4 linked regions of the Drosophila melanogaster genome follow. The protein of the gene in region 4 purifies or fractionates together with the protein of the main gene of each other region. This does not show direct contact. Each region holds a gene or a part of one and is shown on either strand. Other genes may lie near its edges.

Region 1 (3,848 bases), on a different chromosome or scaffold from region 4:
GTTTTGCGGGAATAGAGTGGAAAAGCGCGAACCACCGCACAGGCGCTGGCGAATAGATTCTCTCGTTCGCAGACGAGCACCACGCTCTCCTCGGAAACGTTCAGCACATGGTTCTTTACCAGACGAGTGATGGCATGAGCCCGGGATGCCGTATTGTGTCGGGATGCCTTCAATGGCAGGGCAGCCACGGTGGCCACATCGAGATAGAGGGATACCTTATCGGTGGGCGCGGGATGCAGACAAGCGACGGCATTCAGGAAGGTCTCCTCGGTGACGCGCGGACTGAGTTTGCTCTCCAGATGACTGAACTTCAGTAGGTTTAGATGGCGCAGCTGGCCGATGATCAGGACCGGATGTGTCTGCGGATCACTGCAGCCTAGCGACTCGTTAAACTTTACGTCCGTGGCCATCTGTAAGAGAATGTGTGTGCGAATGAGTAAAGAATGGAATGGCTAGCCAAATCCCAGTGATAAGCCGCCGGTATTATCTTATCGGTGCTAATCTGGTGTTTAGCGCTCCAAGTGCCCCACTTGCTTATCAGTCGACGACTTTGCACCACAGGGGCGGTCAATGGATGCAGCCATCCATAAATCACGAGAGCCAAAACCGGCGAGATAAGCAGTGGCATTTGGGTTATGGGTAGGGCCATCTGGACAAACACAGGGGCGTTACTCATCGGTTGCAAGCGGATGCAACGCTGTAGGGGAAGTTTAAGAATAGCTGACCCATATTAGAATGGCTCAATTAAAGTAGCTCCATTGTGAAAAATACTGCAGTATAATTTTATAACTAAAATTCTAATAAAAAACAATCAATCAATAATTATGTTTACAACTAAAAAGCATTGGGTTCATAAAATGAAGCTTCAAAAGAAAAAAATTACCTCTAAAATATTTTAACTATAATAATCACCTAATATACATAAATATAAATTGTATTGCATTTATAATGAACAAATTAAGATAAATTGTAGTAGCAATATGAATTCTAATAATTTACATAACATTTTCTGAGTTTTAGCGAATATTAGAAAATCTTATAAAATCAAATAACGTTTTTTTTTACAAATTATTAATTTTAATATATTTTGGTACAATAACTTAACTAAGTAGTTAACATTTTCAACTTAAAGCCATCAATTTTCCAGCTTTACAGTCGCAAGGCAATAAAAACATAAACTACCGAAAAGATATCGTTCAGCACATATCTTTACGATGCTCCATAAACTCGCATGGGTTTTATAAGCACGATATCATTGTGCATAAAGCGATTTAAGTTTCTTAAAATCGCAAATGCCACATGACCTTGAATTCGGTGCAACAAGAACAACAAGTGGGTCGTTGACCGACTCGCAGCATTCGAAACCGAAAAGTGGATAAACATCTAATTTACCCATTTTCAATTGGATTTGACTGGACACTCGATATGTAGAAATATTATGCAAATTCTATATTCTCTATTTTTAGACTCTTTGTTCGCGATTTCTTCGTTTGCAAAGCGTTTTTTGCACATTTTCTGCCTTTTTATTCGCTCACCTTTTTGAAGCGGGCGCTGCTGTAGGTGCGAGCGAGATGGTTGCGTATTGCCTGGACGCAGAGCAGCAAACGCATGAAGTGCCTGCTTCAGAAATTGCACAAAAATTTGCCAAAAGTGCCGACGTTTTATTTTTATTTTATTTTGCTGCCAATTTGACTTGCAATTTTTTGCTTGCCGGCTAATAGAGATGTGACTTGCACGACGATAAGTCGATGTCAGCTATCGATAAGTGCAGAACCACTTTTTTCTTTCAGCCTGGCCACCCTGCTGGTGTCGTGGAAGTGTCATCCCTAATGAGAAGTACCACCACTAACTGGAAAGCAAAACAAGCGTCTGGAAAACGGCGCTTAGTTTTTAAAGATTTTAATTGATTGCAGTAAATTGAGTTTAAAATGGCAATTATTATGACTGAATCGAGTTACGAAAGGCGCGTAAAGGCTTTGTACGAAAAACAAATTCACATGGAAGCCCTCGAGGCGAAATTCATCAAAAAGGTCTTTAAATTCAACAGCAATTTGTGTGAGTTGGAATTTATCTCCATATATCTCCATTTCAATTGATATATTTCACTAAATATTTTAGTGGATGTCAAGGAAGCAGCTTCGCGCCATCAGCGGAAAGTGGGAAAGTTGCAAAAAGTGCTCATGGAGCGGCGGGAGGAGTTGGACAAGCGAGTTTCCTTCATAGAGGAACTTGATCGAGAACTGGAGGCCACCAAACTTCACAATTTGGCCATGAAAGATTGGTTTAAACAGCAGAAAATGCTGGCCAAACAGCGCAAAAACGAAATCATGGAAAGGTCAGGGATTAGGTCAAAGATAATCATATTAAGATTTTCTTAGCACGAATGGCTAGCTAATATTTTCCGGGCTCCAATGGGTTCGATCTTGTCCTTATTATACATAAAAATGACTATTCATATTGATTTTTAGTCCATCCAAAACTACTATTGGTACAAATATATGTATATGACAATAATGTATTGTCAACATTTATGGTCTTTACATGCGTACAAGTTGCAGTGAGAGACTAATCAAATACTTTATTTACTTTAACTAAATCTATTAGGAGCATCATCAAAGTCTATAAACTGCAAATAATAGATATAGTTGAGGTCGTGTTCCAAATAACTTATTTAGCTTACATACATAATTTATTTGCATAGCCTCACATGCGCTCTTATTTTTCAAACAAATCCGATTTTAATGCGGTCAGTTTTAAACTTAGTATACTATAATGAGAGCAATGTGTGTTTATTTGTTTTATTTTATAGCATTCACACGCTGTCGAAGACAACAAGAACCTATATAAATCAAGAAGCGCTGCCGGCACGTGTGAAGGGTGTCACTGTACTCCGTGGCGATAAACGCGACCAGTTGATACCCTTTGATCTGAAGGCGACCGATGTGGAAGGACTGGACTCACTGTGTCAGCATCTCGAGAGTCTAAATGTGGACGTGGCGCAGTGGCAGCAGCTTATCTCGCTGGCCATGGACATGGCTATGGAGTCACGTGCTCCCACTACTCCGCCCAAGGAAGCAGACAATTGCAAGTCTATAATCGAGATTGATCTCACATCGCCGATGAGCCACACCTGACTTCCGATTAACTGATTTACTTGGATTAGGGGGAAGACCCTTTTCCAATGGAGCACTTTATTTTAGCATTATAAATAGTTGGCTTCCAATAAAAGCTCAATTGGGAATTCATCTTAACGAATTAAGCATCTTATTATAGCAGTTTTTTAGCCATTTAAGTACTGCTTGTAATTGTTTAAGTGCAGTGTAAATTATACATATATCTCCCAAAATTTTTTTTTTTTTCTTTTTTCTGATATATCATCTTCACTGGAAGCTTAAAAATTTTTAGAGATATCGCCAAAGAAGAGATATCGCGAAAGGCTCCAGTTTAAGTAGTTCCAATTCAAACTTATTCAAATTAAAAACCAGTTATTGAATTTATTTTAAATCAAAAGTCTTCTTATCATATTTAACCAAATTTACAACTTTAGTGATAATTATATCATAAATTTGGTTTAATGAGTTCTCTATTACTATAAGGTTTTATATATATTTCAAATGTTTGGGTAATTTCCTTATAACTATATCAGAACAAGACCTGTTTTATTAAACACCTTTCTTTAAGATTTGTATGATTATCTGAGAGCTTTTGACATGGCGGCCGGTGTTAATCGAGAAATCTCGAAAGTCACAAGCGACTCAGAGTGCCACCGACTAACCGATCTATGAATAAACAGCGATCCATATAGATTGGCGCTGCTCAATTGCTATTGTCCGGCGAAAGTTAGAGCG
Region 2 (4,727 bases), on a different chromosome or scaffold from region 4:
TACTATCTTAAATATGGCATGCGAACGGCTGGACCGCTCGTTCATGTTCGTCTCGCCCACGGTGCGCTCCTTATTGCCCAAGCATAGCAGGCGCAGGAGGTCAACCTCGCTGGTTATGATGCACTCCTCGCAGTTCACATTCACAATCCCATTTCCGGACTCATGGATCTTGAGGTCCTGATTCTTCTTGTTCAGCAGATCGTAGATCTTCTCGTTGTAGATCTCGATGTAGCCCACGCGCAGCAGAAAGTCCCGCTCCGTCTCACTGGAGATCTGTTGAAAGATCTCCTTGGCGGCTAGCACCATGACGCCCGGATTCTGTTCGTCGCCCATCATGGTGTACGTCTTGCCTGAAATGCATGCCCGGTTTTAGGTATACCGCCGCGTATATATAGCACAGTACCCACCCGACGACGTCTGGCCGTAGGCAAAAATAGTTCCGTTGAAGCCCTGCATGCAGGCGTGCACTATGTGCTTGGCCATCCGGTCGAACACCTCCTGGTTGCTGGCGCCCTCGTCGAACACATAGTCTGCCAAACGGAATGGAATGTAAATGAGATAAAGGTCTTGTGGATCAGGATACGCTCAACGCTCTAACCACTCACCGAAGACATAGGGCTCCGCATGGCTGTCCGCCAAGTGGATGGAGCGGCGCTCCTTCACCTGCCAGAGTGAAGTGAGCCCGGGCTCGCAGGGACGCACCTTGATGCAGACCTGGATGGAGCTGGCGTTCTTCGCAGACATCTTGGCGCCTTCTTGGTCTCAATGCTTTATGATAAACAGAACGCAGTTCATAAACAAACATAAAATTCAATGTTTTACAGTAAACAAACATTGATCGACATCTTTGTTGCTCGTTAAATTCGAACAAATGCCGCTTTGCAAAATCAGGGATGTATATGCTTCGATATCTTCGAGTGGCGCTAACGACTCGATAGATAAATCGGTTCATCGATTGTTATCATAGTTCCAAATAGGGCTGCAAAAATAAAAACAGAAACACATTATGTTCTTATCCCACAGGGCTGCATTAACATTCCTGATCAAGGGTCGCTACGGCATATATATATTCTAAGACGTTGTGTTCTTATTGGTAGGGCATGCTAACTAACAAAGTTCTATGACTCAATACTTTAAGGTCAAACAGAAAATAGAACAAGCTCTTAAATACATGCGAAAACTACGGTTTAAATTTCATATAAGTTCGTATTTTTTCTACTAATTCATAACTTCTATTCATAGCACACATATAATGTGGAAAGTATTTGATTCCAAAACAAATATTTGAAATAAATTATAACTAAGCTCCCTAATATAACCACTATAATATTTTCCAAATTTTCAATTTTCCTATTTTTTTTAATAGTGAACAACTGGGATTATTATTCCAATGAAATCTCATGTTTATATCAGACAGTATTCTTCTGTATGCATTAAACAATCCCCTCAGCTTTTGTCTGTCTGTAAGTAAGCATTTAATTTAGCGGTCTTTACTATTTTGGAAATATAGATAATAATAATCTATATTATATATCACGAAAAAGCTCGGAAAAAGTTTTATGTTCGAAGCCTATTGGATTATATTTTCATATTCGCCGAAAGCTCCTCAAACTTTTAAATTGAACTGGCTCGCGCCTATTTACTGGTTCCGTATTTCGATCTGGTTCGCTTCCGAAGCGGTATTTGTTCGAATTTACAAAGAGAAACTAACATGTCGATCAAACTAGCTTTTATAAAACGTTAAAATCTGTTTGTGTCTGTTCATTGTGCATGTCAAACACGTTTCCCACAAGTCGCAAAGATGTCTACGAAGAACGCCAGCTCCATCCAGGTCTGCATCAAGGTGCGTCCCTGCGAGCCCGGGCTCACTTCACTCTGGCAGGTGAAGGAGGGCCGCTCCATCCAGTTGGCGGACAGCCATGCGGAGCCCTATGTCTTCGGTGAGTGGTTAGAGCGTTGAGCGTATCCTGATCTACAAGACCTTTATCTCATTTACATTCCATTCCGTTTGGCAGACTATGTGTTCGACGAGGGCGCCAGCAACCAGGAGGTGTTCGACCGGATGGCCAAGCACATAGTGCACGCCTGCATGCAGGGCTCCAACGGAACTATTTTTGCCTACGGCCAGACGTCGTCGGGTGGGTACTGTGCTATATATACGCGGCGGTATACCTAAAACCGGGCATGCATTTCAGGCAAGACGTACACCATGATGGGCGACGAACAGAATCCGGGCGTCATGGTGCTAGCCGCCAAGGAGATCTTTCAACAGATCTCCAGTGAGACGGAGCGGGACTTTCTGCTGCGCGTGGGCTACATCGAGATCTACAACGAGAAGATCTACGATCTGCTGAACAAGAAGAATCAGGACCTCAAGATCCATGAGTCCGGCAATGGGATTGTGAATGTGAACTGCAAGGAGTCCATCGTAACCAGCGAGGACGACCTCCTGCGCCAGCTCTACATGGGCAACAAGGAGCGCGTCGTGGGCGAGACCAACATGAACGAGCGGTCCAGTCGTTCGCACGCCATCTTCAGGATAGTGAGTGCTAGATTCTTGTATTAATCATATAATATGCAAGATTATTTCTACAGATCATTGAGTCCCGAAAGTCGGACCACAGTGATAACGACACCGTAAAGCAGAGCGTACTGAGCCTGGTGGATCTGGCTGGATCCGAACAGGTGGACCCCGCGGACCACGCATCCAGCCTTATGATTTTTCGCAACTTGGTTAAGAGCCTCTCCGAGAGTGTAGATAGCAAGCCGAATAGCTTTCGCGATTCGAAACTTCCGCGCATCATGCTGCCTTCGCTGGGTGGAAATGTTTTGACCTCTATCATCTGTACAATTACGCCATCGTTCGTGGAGGAGTCGTCATCCACTATAAGCTTCGGCACGTGTGCCAAAAAAATTCGTTGCAAGCCGCAGGTCTGCAAGATAGACTCTGAAACCACGATGATGAGGCAACTTGATCGCGGGATCAGTATGTTGAAGGATAAGCTTGCTAAGAAGAAGATCAAGAATGAGAGCCAGCTGGTATTGCAGGAATTGGAAGGTCGCATCAAGCGCGACATGTTGAAGATCGTTTCCAGCGCCTCGCTTGACGACTATCGCCTCCAGAAGCGTCGTCGTACTTGGACTTTAACCGCCTCAGGCTCAGAAGGCGACGCTCCTGTTCTCGCATTGCCTGAGCCAGAGGAGTCCCGTCTACCGCGTCCTTCGAAGCTGACTAACCTGCCGAAACCCTTGTTTCAGCGGCGGGGGATTGCTCCCAAAGCCAAAGGCATTTGTAAAACCCTAAAGGAGAAAAGGTTACAAACGGATAATATGGACACTATGCCTGGCCGGGCGAAACAGTTGGGAAGAGAGACAGCTAGCAGAATTCCTTCAGTAATGATGTCAAAAAAGTATCAGGAGTCGGTGCCGAAGTAAGTAAATTTATGAATTATTTATTTTACTTTTAGATCTAGAGTTATAAAAAGATTCAAATGAGTTAAACAAACGAAACTACATAGTATTCTACGCGACTATATCGTTTTGAAAAGTACTTTAAGTAAGCAATTTTGCGCATTTTGAACATACCAACTCACCTCTTGCGCGCACTCACCTGACACCTGAACTAAAAACGAGGTGGAGACGAGTGCGGCGTGCTCTTCTACTCGGCTGTCTTCTCGTGCGGTCTTCGCTCGCTCTTCTTGCTTTCTCGCAGCAGTCGCAGCGAAGAGGGCAAGCTGTCTCAACTGGGAGTCCGATCGCGAAGAAATCGAAAACAAAACAAACGCCAACGCAAATAGCCGTCGAGAAGGAAAGATTTCTGGGGGAGAATCCGGGAGCGGAAAGAGGCGAGGCGACGCCTGTTGTGAGCCAGTTTTGCGAATAGACTCGGCTGGATGCGATGTGACGCCCCAGCTACGATCGCTTTGTGGCCCTGGAAGCGCGATAAGGCAGTCAGCCGATCGACAAGGTAGTTAACTGGCCAACTTCTTGATAATTTGATCGCTGGAATTCCGCAATGCTCATTGTATTTGCCGCTGTCCGTCAGTCAGCACGCTTTTCCTCCGCCCATCGCTCTCGCGCTCCTCCCCCGATCGTCTTGGGTGATCGATGACGTCGGCCCTACTGTCGATCCACCAACGTTATAGACTGTGATGTAACGCATATAGATTGGCTAACCGAAACCGAAAAAGTGAGTGAGTGAGTGAGTGACTTGGGTAAAAGATCTGCGCTCAAAATAATAGCACAGTGCAGTTGCACTTCTGTTTCGTTTGCGAAAATAAACAATTTGTGAAAGGTGTTTAGATTTGAATCTTTAAAAACGCTTCTATTTCTTTGACCATGTTCGCGTAACCCACACATCTCGCCTGGTGCAACTTCAACTTGAATGCCGCCAGCTGCTTCTATTTTTAGTGGTTTTTTGTGAACGCCGGATTCCCTCAGACAGCACCCATTTAGCTAGGCAGAGTAAATAGCTTTTCGTAGCCATGCGCGCACTGGAAATATAAATAGAGTTAAAGTATATTTATGGAGTTCCTGAATTTACGTATTCATTCAAATCCCTCAATTTTCCTATCAATTACAGCTGCGATGCCCCGCAGACCGAGATCTCTGCGCTTACTGCATCCAACCAGGTAGCAAAGGAGACGATCGAGAAGTACGAGGAGCAGGTGAAGAGGCTAAAGGAGACAATTGAGCGGCTGGAGATGGAGAACGGCAAGGCAGTCAAT
Region 3 (4,723 bases), on a different chromosome or scaffold from region 4:
CAGCACAATTTGAACTATGTATAGTTTTGCAATACACGACTATATTTCACATCTGGTTTCCGAAGTTTTGCTTAGAGCAGTTCGCCAGACCATTGCATTATATTGTACATTATATATATGGGTGTACAGACATTATATACATATATATATATATACATACTTGCATGCATTGTATTTGCGACTCTACTTAAGGCAAGTCCACCTTTTGGACTGGCTCTCCACCTAATCGCAATCTCTCGGTTTCTGTTGCTGCATGTTCTTAATACTATTTCACCTAGCTCCCCACCCCTCCCCACATATTATATTCAATTTTTTTTATTTAACCAAAATTTTAGTTAAAAAAGAGACAATTCAGATTGTAATCTATTTAGGCAAGTGGTAGGGTATCTCTAGCATTAGAAGAAGCTAAAAGTAAAAACAATTTCGTAAAACCAAAATTTTTTCTCTAGGATCATAATTATTAAGCTGAGCTAAAAACGAAAACAAATTTTAACTAACTAAGAAGGGACAAAATTGAAATAAGATCAAAAAAGGAAAACATGTACATTTTGGAAGAAAAATCAAAGTCCACAAAATTTTAACGAATGAGAGGCAAAAAATCAGACAAAAATGAACCACAAGAGAATGAAAAAAAAAAACAAAAATGGAAATAGGTTTCTAAGATGTTTTAATATATTTTGTAATAACAATGCTCGAGTATTTTTCATGTATGTAGTTTTTGATCCAAAATTGAGCGATCAACAAAGGCAAAGGGGTTCTCAACGATCGGTTCCTCGAGAGGATTTGCCAATCATCGATCATAGGGCTCTATTGCTGAACGCTTTGTTTTGGGCACAACTACCTCCTCCGCTTGGCACCGGCAGTAGCCTCGTCTGTGGAGGATCTGGTGGTCCGCTTCCGTTTCTGGCTGCTAGGGGGCTTATCTTCGGCAACTTCTTCTTGGGATTCGGATGCCTTTGCCTGCTTCTTTTGGGCTTTCGGTTGTCTCTTCGTTTTGACCAACTCTTTGGATTGCTTCGCTTCCTTTGAATCGACTTGAGTTGGCTCTTCCTCGGATTTCTGTTCCTTTTTGGATTTACGCGAAGTTGAAGTTGAAGTTGGTGCCTTCGTTTTTGATAAAAACAATATTTAGTTAATTTTTTCTGGACTTATTGGGCCTTCCCTACCTCGTTTTCCTGTGCTTCCTCTGTGGACTCCGACTTCTTTGGCGATGCTAGAGCCTCGGACCCCGGTAAATCAATTTTAGATAACTTCTGCGTGTTGATCTGTTCCTTGGACTCCTGCTGGTCACCTAGAATCCCTACAATCCGATCGTATACCTCCTCCACAGTGGGAAACTTGCGAGCACGTGGTGGACCCCGCTTTAGACCCGACCAAAGTGCCACCTGCTCCTGCTTTCCCATTCCGCCGGCGCTCAAACTTAACTCGAAGGCTCCTCGCCGTGGTGCTCCAAGTGCATTCAGCTGGAGCTGAAGCTGTTGGAGACCACGCTCCCGGAGAGCGGAGTGCAGCTCCTCCGCTCGACGACGAAAGACTCGTCAGGATCGGCAGTGCTCTACGTAGAGCACCGGCGCATTGGGATCCAGCTCTTCGCCTGCATCCCGCTCAGCGATTGGCGCCTGTAGAATCGTTTGGAAATGCATTTAGCTATTGAAATAATGTAGTATTTCAATCGTACCTCTGCTTTTTTGTTCCGTTTTGGTGGCATGATCCTAAAGTAATCAGAATTTTTAAGTAAATGGCGCACTTTTTATTTGGCAGTGCTGCCAGATGGTTTAGTAACACTAGGGTGTCAATCGCGACTGCATCCCTGGAAACTATCGATTTGCCGATAACAGGCGTTAAACGACGCGCGATTCCCAATCAAACTGAGTAAACATTTAATTTAATCAACGTAGTTTCAATAACGCCAAGATGTCGCACCTGATGCCCCGGCGGACCAGCGAGTTCCGTGGCGATGTACTGGAGGAGCGAGGCACTGCCGATAAGCGGCAAACCAGGTGAGCATCGAAATCCAACTGATCAAATCTTGTCAACGATGCAAATGCGTATCCTTTTCCAGGGCAACAAAGCGGAGCGCAGCCACGCACACTCCGTCCTCCAGCCAGGCGGCACCCAGAAGGTATGCACAACCATTTGATTATCGAAGGCACAACCAGTAATGTTTGAATCCAATCCGCATAGGCCGTCCGCATCGCGTCTGCCGCAGCCGCTGAACTTGGAGCGCGATCGGGCCAGTCAAATGGGCGTGACGCCCAAGCGAGGCCACCGGTTTGTGCCCTCCACTGCGGAGCGCGCCATTGCGCCACACTCCGACAAGAAATGGGTGGCGGAGAGGGCACAGCAGATCCTGGAATACCTACATGGCATTCAGAACAGCGAGGCGCCCACTGGACTTATTGCGGATCTATTCAGTCGGCCCGGGGGTTTGCGACACATGACCATCAAGCAATTTGTTTCCATTCTCAACTTTATGTTCCACCACATCTGGCGAAATCGCGTGACAGTGGGCCAGAACCATGTCGAGGATATTACCAGCGCAATGCAAAAGCTACAGTATCCTTATCAGGTAAGCAACTCGGATGCTCTTAGGTTTCCAGTGTTCGTTTAATTCTTAAATCCACTTGTGACTTGCAGGTGAACAAATCATGGCTTGTATCGCCAACAACACAGCATTCATTCGGCCATGTGATCGTTCTGCTGGACTTTCTCATGGACTTTTTACCGCCTCTGCCCTCGTCGGATGTGGTGGAGGAGGAGTTTCCGTTTATGGAAACCATGGAGCAGCCCAGCTCGTATCTGAATAGCATGCACTGCGAGTCGACGACCATCATGTCCACCACACAGGCGCACGCCATTCAGCTAGATGAAGACGTCAATGGTCTGCTCTTCGAAGAGGCTAGCAAATGCATTGCCTTGTGGGATCAGGAGCTTACCAATGAGGAGGCCAAGCTGCAGGCGGAGACCAGGGATCAGGTGATCAGCAAGAAGTGTGATTTGCCCGATCGCAAAGCCTTAGACCAGCTAATCGGCGATCTGAAGACGAAACTACAGCAACTGGAGAATAAGTTGCATGATCCCAGTGAAGACAATAAACTGAACAAACTGGAACGTCTTACCAAAGAGCACGATCAGCTTGCCCAACAGCTAGCTGCCAGTGAAGAGGAGCTGATCAAGAAACTGAAGTTATACGAACAGCTGTCTGCCCAGGTAGAAGAAAAACAGTCTAATCTCCGCCAGCAAATGAAGTATGAAAAGCGTCTGGAGCAGGCGGTTAACAGGCAGAAGTTCTCCGCCCAGCAGCTAAAGGAGCTTCAAATGAAGTGCGACGATATGGAAAACTACTCCAAGGCTTATGAGCGCCAGGTGAAGGAGGTGTCCGAGCTGGAGCTGCATCAGCAGGTGATGCTGTCGCGCGCCAAGCAAAAGCAACTGGATTCCGTTGAGGTCTTTAACTCGCACGTGCGCCACCTGAGCATGGACCCGGTGATTTGTGGCCTGATAAAGAGCGGCATTGGCCAGCAATCGGACCTTACTCTGCCACTAAATCCCAATCAAGAGGACATCTCGGAGAGGGTGCAGTGCCTGGAGTTGCTGGGCAAACTTCTGCAACAGCACCGCCAGCAGAATATCGATCGGCGTCAGATGTTGGACAAGCAGGTGGCCAAGGTAAAGTCTGATTCCATCGAGTTAGACACCGAAATCGCCACCATGGACTCTCAGTTGCGGGCGCAGAAACAGCGTCTGACCAAAATGGAGGCCAGTTATCGGACCAAGCGCGACATGCAGGCGCAGCACAGGCAACAGCTGCTCGAGGATCAGTACGACCAGACCGCCCGTCTGGATGAGTTGGAGAAGAGGGAGAAGCAGGCGCTGGAAAAGCTGGAAGCCAGCAAGCAACGGAACGAGGATCTACTCACCGCTGCTGAGCAGTTTCAGGAGCAGGATCTCAAGGCCCGCCAAGATCGCCTGGAAAAATGCGAGCAGAAGCTGGCCAAAGCGGAGGACCAGCTGCTCGCCGTGGAATCAAAGGTCAACGCGACTCAGGCCAAGCTGAACGAGGTGGAGCAAAAGGTGTACTCCGCCAAGCTGCCATCCTTTCAGCCCGTGCTAGATGCCATCAAGAATCATTGATTTGATCCGGATGTTTTGTTGTAGTCCAGTTGATCTGTAAGGAATTTATTAAAGAGTATTCTTTGTTTTCAAATTAAAAAAGACAATGAAGCTGTCTGCAATGTTCAATGTTTTATGTTTTATGAAATGCATTTATTTTTGATTACATTTGAATTAGGTAAATTGAGTTGAACACAGCGGTTCCTGGACAAAGGAGGGGATGATACTCCATAATATCAGATTTCTTAAGTTCTTTATTGCCACACGTATTACGGATTTCATTACGGATCTCCGCTGCCTTTTTTGGGATTACAAATTGCACTTGGAACGGTTTAGCTTTACATGGTTATACATATGTATACACTGAGTGGTGGGTAAATACGGCAAGGGTAACTTAAGCGTAGGTATCTATAAATATTAAATAATATTATCATTTGGCCAATTTTGTGTAGTTTAGCGTGCGATTGACTTGTGCCACAAAAAAGTTGCAGGGAAACGTTTGCATTTATTGCTATTAAATTAATTAATTTGGATATTTCATTTGTGTGCGCTTTTTTCGTATTCGTAGATATATATTTTGTCATTTTTGGGCTTAAAATAAACGAAAATG
Region 4 (3,126 bases):
GGACGATAGCCTAATCCACTCACTTGAACTTCTCGTCCAGGCTGCGTTGTCCAATCATGTGCTTGAGTAGAATCTCCACTTGCGCAAAGCTGCGGGTCACGGCGTCCACGCATTCGGGCTTGTAGGCAGCTAGAGAGGCTTTGACCACCTCGAAATACTCCTTGAAGTCAACCTCAGCCAGCAGAGGACCACTGGAGCTAATTGAACCGTAGATGAGCTCGGGATACTTCTCGCGTGCCCAGGCGGCCAGCGATCCCGGATAGGAGCCACCGAAAGCGATCCATTTCTGGCCATCGCCCAGATTGAACTTAACCTTCATGGCGGTTACAAAGCTGGCCAAGTCCTCCAGAGCCTGCTCCGAGCTGAGATAGTGCAGATTTTCGGTGGACAGATCAGCGGTGGGATGGCTCTTGCCATAGAAACGATGCTCCAACTGCAGACACAGCGCTCCAAAGTGCTCGGCATAGTGCACCCAGGCTCCTTCGCGCATCCACTTGGCCGACGCCTCGCCCTCGCCACCGATCATCAGGAATACGGGTGCGGAGCTGTCATTCCGATAGAAGTCGGCATTCACAAAGTATCGCTGCTGCCAGGTGCGCTTATCGCTCGACTTGAAGTGATCCAATCGCTGCTCGAACCACAGATCCTCCGAGTGCAGGCTCCTTTGCAGGGTTGGAATCTTGCTGGGCTCCCCGAGGAATCCCTTGGTCAGCCTTCCGCGTCGAAATCCCATTCCGGAAATGGGCGCAAGCAGTCCCAGGAGCAGAAGACCCACTCCCAAGGGCCTCAAAACGCCCCCAATGAAAAGCATATTTGCTTCCTTTGTTTGTTCGGGTCAAGTAGAATTTGCCAGTAATTGAAGTATTTAATTAGTTGGAACCTCGCACAGTGCCTAACTGTAAATAGCGACTGAAGGAGAGTGGTGTGTTCTATTTATATAGGCACCGTTATGTGTGTCGCACTCTCCTGATTATTCAGTTCTCGCTGTATTATCTATATTCGCAAAGCCGGCAAAGCAAAACTAAAACAGTAGGGGCATTCATAGTTATTGATTTCAATCATTAATTGAATTAATTTAATTTTAAGCAGAGAAAGATTTCTGTATGCTGTAAGTGTTCTGGTAACTTTACAAAACTTAATTTAGCTTTTTATTTATTTATATTATTTCCTAGCTAGATATTATCGATGAGCTTAATAGCACCGTAAATGTGAACGTGTTTTGCAAAATTTTTGTCAAGTAATTAAGAAAAGTATACATTCTTGCATGCTTTGATAATTTCCATCTGCGTGTAATTTTAAATTCTCACTGAACTAATTTAATGGAAGTTTCCTGAATTTCAAATGCTTTAGGTAGCTTTAATAAACAACATATAGTTTATTTGAATTATTCCATATATTAGGTAAATATTATTGTGGAGTTTCACTGTGCCGTTAATGCGAAAGCTTAATAAATGTATTTGTCAAAAATTTTAGGAAATTGTGCATGTGTATGCGTTGTTTTTATATTTTTCATCTGTATAGTCAGTTATAAGTAGCCAAATTTAGTAACTAGATTTTGTAGCTAAGTATGGCAGCACTGTTGCTGTGGTAGCATCTCTTTGTATTCTGAAAACGGTAACACTAATTGCGCGACAATTTGGATTGTTTACGTTTTTATCCAGTTTAATTGTAATATAATTTAAAAAAAATATTGTTGTTAACTGTCATAATGGACTTCAATAGCCTAGCCTACGATCAGAAGTTCTTCAATTTCACAGCGGCACAGTTGTCTGCAGAGCGTGAGTGCTACATCCTTATATCTCTGGATCAGCGTCCTTTATCCATTAATTCCTTTTAAATAGGCGAACATATTGTGCAGGACATAATTAAGAAGGGTATTGGTCAGATCATCGACAAGATCAAGACACCCGCCACAGCGGAATTGCTGGAAGCCGAGAAGGAGACCGTTGAGCGTCGTTTCCAGGCATCCGCCTCCAAGGGCCTAAAAGCCCTCAGGGAACTGGACAGCAAAGTGTTCCACGTTCCACCGCATGTGCTGCATCCGGAGCACATGTTCGTCGAGAATCAGTATACCAGCGAAGAGGAGGAGCAGAAGACAGCCAGGTTGGAGGAGCTGAAGGCCAAATACAGAGAGGTAACTTGTAGAACCAATGGAAACTATCTTGTATGCCTCATTTTAATCATTATAATGGGGAAAAGGATGCTTTATTTTATGTTTTAATAATGCTAAATCACATCAATTTCAGAACATGGCCATGCTGGCGCATTTGAAGATCGAGGAGGAGAAGTACGCCGCCATGGAGGATCTCATCCAGAAGGAGATCGAAATGCAGGATCGCGTGCAGCGAAGCTGCTCCTCCCTCAACATCACCAAGCTGAAGCAATTCTGGAATCAAGTGCCCCTGCAGATAAAGAAGGAGACTGATTAAATAAACTAACTGGATCAAGTTTTTTAATCTACATTTCCAATATCTTCTTTCGAAACTAGTTTTAACCCTGGAGTCATTTATAATCACTAAGACTCTTCTATATTCCACTTTACCTATTATTATGTCGTTAACTTAGTTTTAAACTTAAAATTAAATTAAATTAAAATTATTATGAATCCGAAACACCTAGATGATTACTTACTAGTTTTAAACCAATTTACCTTAGCATTATATTAGTTCCTTTGACAACAGCGGCAACCAAGCAACGGTCGCTGTTTAAATTTTCCAACTGCCTTGTTTTCAAACAGAAAACAAGCCGGTTAAAAAGTTTCAAGCACAGAACAGACACAAAAACCCCCTTATATGTTACATTTCGAATCGTATATTTTGCTATAAGCCTGGAAAAATGGGAGACTCGCACGATGTCTGCAGGCAGCTGCTGCCGCGCGCAATCTTCGGCATCAATGGCAAGGTGGAGAATGGAGTGCGCCAGCATCCGGTCACGGGATCCATCATCTTTGCGCTGGGCAACAAAATCGGCATCGCCGACTACAAGAAGAATACGCAGGAGTTTGTGGCCGGACACACGAACACCATATCGTGCCTGGATCTCAGCAAGAGTGGCAAATACATGGCCTCCGGTCAGATCAATCACATGGGCTTCCGCGGCTATGTGATCATCTGGAATTACGATCAG

Evidence for each region.
Region 1: the proteins of Mis12 (region 4) and Spc25 purify together in Drosophila melanogaster (affinity purification with mass spectrometry; 2 studies listed by BioGRID). This does not show direct contact.
Region 2: the proteins of Mis12 (region 4) and cana purify together in Drosophila melanogaster (affinity purification with mass spectrometry, with the first as the bait; one large-scale study listed by BioGRID). This does not show direct contact.
Region 3: the proteins of Mis12 (region 4) and Ndc80 purify together in Drosophila melanogaster (affinity purification with mass spectrometry; one large-scale study listed by BioGRID). This does not show direct contact.

The regions. Positions count from the first base shown.
Region 1 is NT_033777.3:12,959,908-12,963,755, forward strand, and holds Spc25 (Spc25), read left to right. Parts: upstream 1-1,837; 5' UTR 1,838-1,928; coding exon 1,929-2,055; intron 2,056-2,118; coding exon 2,119-2,335; intron 2,336-2,809; coding exon 2,810-3,134; 3' UTR 3,135-3,342; downstream 3,343-3,848. Other genes in the region: grsm (granny smith), read right to left, coding at 1-410. UniProt on the Drosophila melanogaster protein: Acts as a component of the essential kinetochore-associated Ndc80 complex, which is required for chromosome segregation and spindle checkpoint activity during meiosis and mitosis.
Region 2 is NT_033779.5:11,268,103-11,272,829, forward strand, and holds the start of cana (CENP-ana), read left to right. Parts: upstream 1-1,677; 5' UTR 1,678-1,801; coding exon 1,802-1,940; intron 1,941-2,015; coding exon 2,016-2,138; intron 2,139-2,195; coding exon 2,196-2,542; intron 2,543-2,595; coding exon 2,596-3,431; intron 3,432-3,707; exon of another isoform or gene 3,708-4,189; intron 4,190-4,394; exon of another isoform or gene 4,395-4,516; intron 4,517-4,582; coding exon 4,583-4,727. Other genes in the region: cmet (CENP-meta), read right to left, coding at 4-350, 408-530, 606-744.
Region 3 is NC_004354.4:13,609,157-13,613,879, reverse strand, and holds Ndc80 (Ndc80), read left to right. Parts: upstream 1-1,817; 5' UTR 1,818-1,914; coding exon 1,915-2,000; intron 2,001-2,062; coding exon 2,063-2,122; intron 2,123-2,184; coding exon 2,185-2,569; intron 2,570-2,637; coding exon 2,638-4,134; 3' UTR 4,135-4,209; downstream 4,210-4,723.
Region 4 is NT_037436.4:6,967,517-6,970,642, reverse strand, and holds Mis12 (Mis12), read left to right. Parts: upstream 1-1,594; 5' UTR 1,595-1,708; coding exon 1,709-1,778; intron 1,779-1,841; coding exon 1,842-2,134; intron 2,135-2,246; coding exon 2,247-2,429; 3' UTR 2,430-2,608; downstream 2,609-3,126. Other genes in the region: CG9953 (uncharacterized protein), read right to left, coding at 24-811; CG10064 (uncharacterized protein), read left to right, coding at 2,836-3,126.